Sus scrofa: one gene and its partner. The protein of the gene in region 1 purifies or fractionates together with the protein of each later gene. This does not show direct contact. Links are inferred from orthologs where the notes say so. Each region holds a gene or a part of one and is shown in the gene's direction. Other genes may lie near its edges.

Region 1 (4,168 bases):
TTTGGAAGACTTTGGTTGAAGTTTTCCAAATCTGTTAAATGTGAGAGGGGCAGAGCAAATAATTAATGAATTTCCTTTTCTCACCTGCTCTGTAAGAATTTTCAAAAGGGCACAGGAGCCAATCTGAAAGATTTCCCCATCGTCAAATGTGGAAAAATTTGAGCAGCAAATTAAGTAATGTACTGTTGAATTACAGCTCAAAATATACAAGAAATATATATATAAATCCATACTGATTGAATAGATAGGGATATGGGAGAGAAGGAACACATCTCTACAGAATAATTCCAAATAATGTAGATACGCCTCCCCCCAGGAGATGGACTTTCCTTCTCCCCACCCTCTCTTGAAATATGGGCTAAACTTAGTCATCCAAAGATGGAAAGAGAAAAATAGTAGCTCTGCCTTGGAAAAACCAGGGAGACACTACTTTAACCAAGTAACAAGGATTGCTGTCATGCAGCACCTAGTAGGATGTGGTCTTCCTCCCCCAAACCCCAAACCACAGCCTTATCATGGGAAAACATCAGACAAGACCAAATGAGGTTGGTTTGGTGTACACACGCTACTAAATATGAAATAGGTAAGTAACAAGGATCTACTGTAGAGCACAGGGGAATCTACTCAATGTCCTGTGGTGGCCTATTTGGGAAAGGAATCTGAAAAAGGATGGATACAGGTATAGGTATAACTGATTCACTTTGCTGTACACCTGAAACTAACACAACACTGTAAGTCAACTATACTCCAGGAAATTAAAAAATAAAAAAATAAATAAATGATAGATATCCACAAAATAGCTTAGCCGAAGTTTTCAAAACTGACTGAGTTAAGGAAAACAAGAAAAGACTAAGAAACTGTCATAGACAAGAAGAGACTAAAAAGACCTAACACTAAGTGCAGTGTGGAAACCTGAATGAGATCCTGGAACAGAATGGTATTAGGGGGAAAACCAGTGAAATCTAAAAAAAAGTCGAGTTTATTTAATAGAAAGGGATCAGTGTTACCTTCTTAGTTTTGACCAGCCTACTATGGCGATGTAATACATGAATATTAGGGGACGTCGGCAGGGGGGTTTTGGAGAATTCTATACTCTCTCTGCAACTTTTTTTGTAAATCTAAAATTACTCCGAAATAAAAAAGGCTTATTTATAAGCAACAAAAACAAAAGTTTATTGTTTGTGCAAAGAGAACATTTTAATAAAGCAGCGACTACCCTCTTTACATGACTCAGTTACTGAGAGGTACGCAGTGTTGAGGGATGCAGGGAAGGCACCCCGGAGCGCCTGGGGCCCGGCGTGTGCTTCCGGGGGCGGCAGGAGCCTAGGCTCCTCCCCGGAGCCACCAGGGCGCCGGACTCTGCCCCGGGCGCTCCCTGAGGGGTGGAGCCAGCCAGCCCCACGGAGAAGACTCAGCCCAGGTCCAGAGCCGAGGGGAGGAGCAGCGGCAGAATCCTGCTCTGGCTGAGCGCCCTCCAAGGTAGACGAGCCCCTGCGATCCGCGCACAGGTCACCCCCAGGTGAGTGAATGTCCAGGTGCCCTTGGAGCCGGTTCCCCCAGCGCCGCCCTCACACCAAAGACATTTTCCTGTAAACAGATCCTCGGTTAGGAGGATATTCTCCCTGTAAACCTCTCTTCTGGACTTGAATTCCTTGGGCGAAAAGTTTGTGCTCTTCCAGGAACGGAGCTTACCTTCCTCGAGAGAGAATGCCCCACCCTTAGCCCTGTGCACACCTGATTATTTATTTCGATTGCTGTTATGCCGTCCCTCGGCCAGGGGTTCTCGCGATTCAGAGGCGGTGGAGAAAACATGCTGTCACCTGTGAACCCCCGCGCGGCGACTTTGACAGATCACCGCGCCTGAAATTTTTAAGAGCACAAACGAATGCTTGTGAGTGAAGATGGTTGTCTTACACCTTCATTCATCCGTGCTGGCATCTGTAGCTGCAGGTGTAGCTAAAGGAGAACAGCCTATTGGTTGACAGTGCTATCTATGGTCATGGGATTTTAGAACTGAAAGTTACTCAGCCCCAGGCAGTTGTGCAGAGGAGCAGTGTCAACTTACGGAAAGAATAGCACAGGACGGTGCAAGGGTAGATTTTAGATTGGATGATGACATGGCTGTACATTTTCAACCTTCTTTGAAAGGAAAAAAATTACGTACATAATCAAATATTATTATTTACATATATAAATTATATATGATCATATATATATGCACAGAAGATGCAGTTAGCCCCATACATAAATGAAGCATAACTCAAGCATACATAACTATTTATACTATAGTTGTTTCATTTCAGGAATCAAAACCTTTGTTACTTCCTTTTATATACAGTCTAGATGAAGTGTCCAAAAGGGAATTATTCTGCATTTGCAATAGGGAAAACATAATCTGTCCTTTTGATTTTACCTGTGCTATTAAATATTCAGTTCTGCACAAGTCTGGCTTTTCAGAAATACGATCTGAGCTTTAGTCTCAGATATCCTAGCGGACACAAATGGTGCTGCTGTTTCCTGGGCTGCACTGCCCCTCCCCCTAGCCCTCCCTCTATGCCACTGATTTGAGAGTGGTGGTCCCTGACACAGAGGAATTTGTGCCTAAGGCAGGGCCTTCTCAATTACTTACAGAAAGAATGAAAATGGCTGACACTTCCTGCGACCCAGGAAAACTTAAAGGTTTTTACCTTTGTGATTTGCTGAATATGGTAACTAAAGCTGCACTAACTAAAAAGAGACTCCTGAAATATATACAGATACTATTTCAGTTGTATAATTCATTGTTGTGATTTCATGAATTAATAACAGGGATGCATGTATTTGTTAGCTTTTTGATTTATAATGTGCTGGACAGTGGGCTTGAGCTATAATCTAAAGCCCTGACAAAGCTGAAAAACATAAGCTAGATTTGGCCAAAACTAAAAAATGAGGTGTACATTTATTTGTTTGGAATTATGACTGAAAAAGGAAACAACTGAAGAATTTGGAAGGGACTGTAAAAGTCTTTTGAAGTAGTAGCTTTGAGTCTTTGAAGTGAGATATTTACATCAAAATTAGATGGCCATTTGTTGATAGAAAAAAAAATATAATGGCAAAATGTTACTCTGAATGTAATAGCCTGTTTAAGTGTATTTACATTTTACTGAGCATGGAAACAGCCATCCACTGAGTCTGGAAAACAAAAGCAAGCACGTGCCCGCGTGTGTGTGTGTGTGTGTGTGTGTGTGTGTGTGTGTGTGTGAGAGAGAGAGAGAGAGAGAGAGAATTTAGGGGCCTATTCATATACTCATTGAACCAATACTTGTTGAGTGCCTGCTGTGCAGGGCACCCTGTTCTGTCTTGGGGACACAGAGGGATACAGCTTTGTGCAAATAAGACACATTCTTGTCCCTGTGGAATTTACACCAGTTTGAAATCCTTCAGGGCAACCCTGAGGCCATAGATTAGGGACCACACCTAATCATCCATCTATTTTTAACAGTGACTGATTAGTTTCAAATCACTGACTCTTTTACACTGACTTAAATAGATTTTAAAAGGAATTTGCGTCTTAGGTCAGTTTCCTCTTTTGCTTAGGCTGGGGAAGAATTTAGGAATATTGTAGTCTGTTAATGCTATGCAGTATTTTGATATTAAACTTGAAATAGTTTAATATCAATTTCATGGGAATTAAATAAAAACTAAACTTGGAGTAGTAGATGCCAGTAATTTAGGGGGAAAAAAAATCAATGAGTGAAAAATTTCAAATTGAGAAAACTGTATCCAAGTTTTTTTTTTTCCTGTAAGTTAAAAAATATGACTACAGTCATATTTTACCTCAGAGCAGAAGAATGACTTTATGCAAGGCATTTTTCCCTTTTTTTATTCTTTTGCTGTTTTCTCAAAAGCAGGTTTATTGGAAGTATAATATACATACCAGAAAATCCAGGTGTCCAATTCAATGATTTTTAGTAACATTTATGGAATTGGGCAACCATCATCACAGTACAATTCTAGAACATTTTCATCCCCCCTTAACCACCCATCTTAAGGGGCTGTTTGCAGTCACTCCCCATCCTCAGACCCAGCCCCAGGCAACCACCAGTCTACTTTCTGACTCTTTAGATTTGCCTTTCCTGTACACTTTATACAATGCAATCATACAGAAGAGTGTTTAGCATCTAGCTTC
Region 2 (4,231 bases), on another chromosome or scaffold:
CACCAGGTCCCCAGGTGTAGAAGAGGGTCACTCATAAGACTGTTGTTAAGTTTTAAGTGATTTAATGTGTGTAAATAGCCTGGGCCGCTAAATAGAAGCTGTTGTGACTAAAATAATTATTAGTGTGTTTTTTCCTTGTCCAATAAATCACATCCAACCCAGCATACTATAATTCGAATGTGTAAAAAGAGCGCATCAGAAATGTACTGGATTAAAAAGAGAGATGTAGGGGAAGTGGGCGACACTCATAGAAGCGTCCTAGAGATTTTGCGGGCGTCGGGTGAAAAAGATGCCCAAGACAAGATCAGGGAGTTGGTTCAGGTAACTATGGGAACTATGGGAATCAAGGGAAGCGATGCTGCTTAACCGTAATAACTATTTAGCCTTCCCTCAAAGATCACAGCAACATCCAGCTTCTTCCTCTGCACTCTGGCTTGGGCCGAACCAAGCCGTTAGGAAATGCACCTGGTCAGCTCCCGTCCACGAGACCCTGGTATTAAGGGGTTAGGGCAAAGGTTCGGAGCAACTCACCCCGGAGACTCCGTTGATACTGCCCCAGAATCTCCTCCAGGGTAGAGTTCTCCGAAGATTTCGCCATGCACACACTCGGAGCTCAGAGACGGGAGTTGCGTGGGGTAGTGTCCAGGGTTCTCCTCTCCGAGAATAAGAGGCCCCAGCGCCCCACAGGCGCCCACCCGCTTCCTGCCGCGGCTGTCAACCCGGAGCGCGGAATCCCAGACGCAGCCAGCCGGGCCTCTTCCCACCCACGGGCCCTTGTGGTGGACCTCGGAAATTGTAGTCCTCGTGTTCCGGGATTACTGTCTCAAGTTCCCAGGCGCCCTCCCAAACAAACTACAATTCCCAGAGGGCAACGCGCTCCAAGCTCACGCTTCAGCAGTTTGGCTGCCAGATCTGGTCGCCAAGAGACCGTTTGGAGGCTCCGCCCATTTCTGTAGCGCTGCCTGTCTTGGTCCTGCCTCCATCCCATCGTGTGTTTGGACCATCTGACAGAAAGCACTCACTGAACGCCTTGATTCTTTTAAGTTCGCTAGAATGCAGTTGACCCTTGAGGCGTCTCAAGAACGCAAATAAATTCTACACTCTTCAGCCACAACTTTTGCCAACACCGCCAAATAAATTCTCAGGAAAAAGAAGCTCTGAATCTCCCAAACAGCCTAAATTGTGAAAGCGGCTGACGCTACAAATTTTAGCACACCCAGCTGGCCACCCGACCTCAGTTTGGAGGAGTTGACGCACTGCCCGCTGGGAAATGTAGTCCTTACGGGTTGCGGTCCCAGCTAAAGCCCAGTCCTCCTCATTGTTGAAGCAGGTCTTTGGTGTACGCCTGCGCAGTCGGCAGCTGGCGAGGCCTGTGGGTGAGACCCCCCACACAACCCCTTTTCATTGTCTGTGCTTGGCGCCTGCGCAGTAGAAGTTCGCCGGGACTGGGCCGGAGCAGGGGTAGGGCCGGGCTCTTCGCCCTCTCCCCTGGCGCCTGCGCACTGGGCGGCCGCTCCTTGCCGTTACCGCTATGTGCGGAGCGTGTGTGGAATAACGTTATTGCCCAGCGGCGCGGAGGGGCCAGGAGCTCGATCGCGGCGGCGGCGGCGACGACGAAGACGACGACGACGGGGTGGGGGAGGAAGCTGGCGAGAGACTCACGGGACGCGGCGCGCCCCGCCCCCCGGTCCGGTGCCTCTCAGCAGTGAGGGGTAAGTGATGCACTCTGATGCCGTCGCCGCCGTCTTCCCACATCCTGCTCCTCCGGTTTGCAGCCGGGGCTCGGGCGCGGCCCGCGGCGGGCGGGGTGCGGGCTGGGCGGCGAGGGGCGCTTCCCGTAGGCTCCGCGCGCTGCCCCCGCCCCGGACCCGGGACCCGGCGGGGCCGCCCCTCCCCTCCCCCCCCGCGTCCCCCAGTCCTGCGGCCCGGCTTCCCCGCTTGTGTCCACGTATTGAGTCGTCTGGGCTCTCCCGGCTTTGTGCAGCCGCTCCGCCCAAGCAGTGTGCAGGGGTGCGGGCGGAGCAGTGGAGGGAATGGCTGCGCTGCCGCTGGTGAAGGGATATTTCCCGGTCCGAGCAGCTCGGTGTCGATCCTTATTGTGTGGTTGTTTTGGGGGTGTGGGGTGATTTGGGGGGTCCGGCGAGGAGCCTTTTGGACGCGGTGGGAGGGCGTAGAAGACGTGGTGTCACGCACCCCGCCAGGCGACTGCACCCGCGCAGGCTGTAGCTTGGTAGTAAACCGGGGGAGGAGAAAGTGGCTTCCTGTCGACTTCATTGTCCTGAGATTCAAATGTGGTCTTTGGTATGTGTCCCTTCATTTTATGCAAGGGAAGGAAAAATTAGCAGCTGCCTAACACAGGGCGGGAAGATGTGGGATTTGTATCCCGAGTCATAGAATCTTTGTTTTTTAGTGTGTAGCAGAGTTTTTATTTATTTGGAGAATGTAAAGCTTCTGGAAGACAAGGACAGTGCCTGTCCAAGCCTTGCCAAGGTGATCAATATAAAATTACTAGATGACGATGAAGAATGGACTAGGAAGGGCCTTGACGACGAAGCTGTTGTGTAGCAGGAAAATGAACCGGCGGAATTGTTTTTTTATTGGGTGGGTAACGCATTCGTGTTCCTAAGGGAGGAGGTTAGGAAACATCTTTCCGTTTTGTTTTTTAAGCATGCAAAACAAAAAATAGGCCTGGTACATTTCTTTTTCTGACTTTTTGAACTGATATTTTTATTCTCTTAATGAAAATTCACCCACTTGGGAGAAATGTGGTAAAGTAGGTGATACACTTGATTGAAAACGCATCTCTTAAAATGATTTGATTATTAAGCTTACAATGCATACAACCATTTGCTGGGGTTAAAACAAACAGAAGAGAGATTGAAGGAGAATGGGGAGGAGCAGGTGGAGGACTGATTTGAGAGGAGACAGTTATATTATAAATACAGTATCCAGGTCTGCACTGATATAACCCTGGCTGGGTAGGCTGCAACGGTTTAGGAATTCAGTTCTGGAACTATTACATTGCAAGTTACAAACCATTTTGTATTTTTCTGCCATTATTTTTTAAAAAGTAAAACCAGTGCTGCTTTTACTTTTTCTTAACTTTGTAGATCTTGTAGAATTTTGGTGTTTTAAAGCTGAAGAGTCTAAAAGCACTTAACAGAGACAAGAGGAAGACGTAAAACTTGGAAAGTGAACTGACTTGTGTGTCCAGCCAAAATACTCATGAAAGCCAGAGTCAAATAAAACCAACGTCTCTGCAATGTGAGCTCCCAGCTGTCTCCCCTAGTCCCCCAGCTTTTAGGGAAAGCTTCTCTACAGACTCTTTGAGTTGTCTGTGACAGTCAGGTTCATTGACAGCTCCGTTGTAGCAGTCTAGTCTTTTTCTTTTGAAGTAAAGATAATAATACTAATGATGTAGAACTATAGTTTTATGTATTAACTTAAGGATATAGAAAAAGATACCCTAAGTGGGCTTTTCTTAAAAACAAAAGCTGTTGGAATTTTCCCCCTACTTCTTATTAGTAACCGTATTTTAGTACTGTTGTCTTATATTGTATTTTATAGTATGATCAACTATATATAAACTCTTAAAAATCAAATTGCCACATAACAAGAACCTATGAGGTTTGTTTTTCTTCAGTTAATGAATTTTATTATTTTCAGCTTAATTTACTTTTTAAGGAGAACACTCAAGTTGAACTTTTAATTAAATGTATGCTTTTTTGTTGAAATTGAGTTTGCCATAAATTGCTTATTTGTTGTCTTATACTTTTTAATCCTTTAATTCTACATTGCACTTTAATAGACTTTTTAAAAAAATTAGTATATCATGGACTTCTCTTATGGCCCAGTGGGTTAAGGATCTGGCCTTGTCACTGCTATGGTTCAGGTTCTCTCCTGAGGTGAAATTTTGATCCCTGGCCTGGGATCTTCCATGTGCTGCGAGTGAGCCAAAGCAAAACAAAAGAATTAGTATATCGCTTACATTTCAACTTACTTAAAAAGTAATCTGTAATTAAATTCACCATGTGGAATTATATTAAACTTGAAATTTGTCTTACTGTTAAATTTCATGATGTTCTAAAATGACTTTGTATGGAAATAAATAACCATCTGCATATTTTCCAATTTAGTGTTAGAAGTGAAATTTATATTGTAAAATTATCATACATTATGCCTGTTAATGTAAATATCAAAACACTTTTAAAAAACTCTGTGCTTAAGTGAT

What was found. Proteins that work in one complex are often made in the same cells at the same time.
Region 2: the proteins of CCDC68 (region 1) and CEP170 purify together in Homo sapiens (co-immunoprecipitation; 3 studies listed by BioGRID and IntAct, counting the BioPlex papers as one, with this or other methods). This does not show direct contact. The link is inferred for Sus scrofa from reciprocal best matches to the Homo sapiens genes CCDC68 and CEP170.

What each region holds. Positions count from the first base shown.
Region 1 is NC_010443.5:104,471,782-104,475,949, reverse strand, and holds the start of CCDC68 (coiled-coil domain-containing protein 68), read left to right. Parts: upstream 1-1,368; 5' UTR 1,369-1,519; intron 1,520-4,168. UniProt on the Homo sapiens protein: Centriolar protein required for centriole subdistal appendage assembly and microtubule anchoring in interphase cells. Together with CCDC120, cooperate with subdistal appendage components ODF2, NIN and CEP170 for hierarchical subdistal appendage assembly.
Region 2 is NC_010452.4:16,188,348-16,192,578, reverse strand, and holds the start of CEP170 (centrosomal protein of 170 kDa), read left to right. Parts: upstream 1-1,431; 5' UTR 1,432-1,712; intron 1,713-4,231. Other genes in the region: SDCCAG8 (serologically defined colon cancer antigen 8), read right to left, coding at 532-598.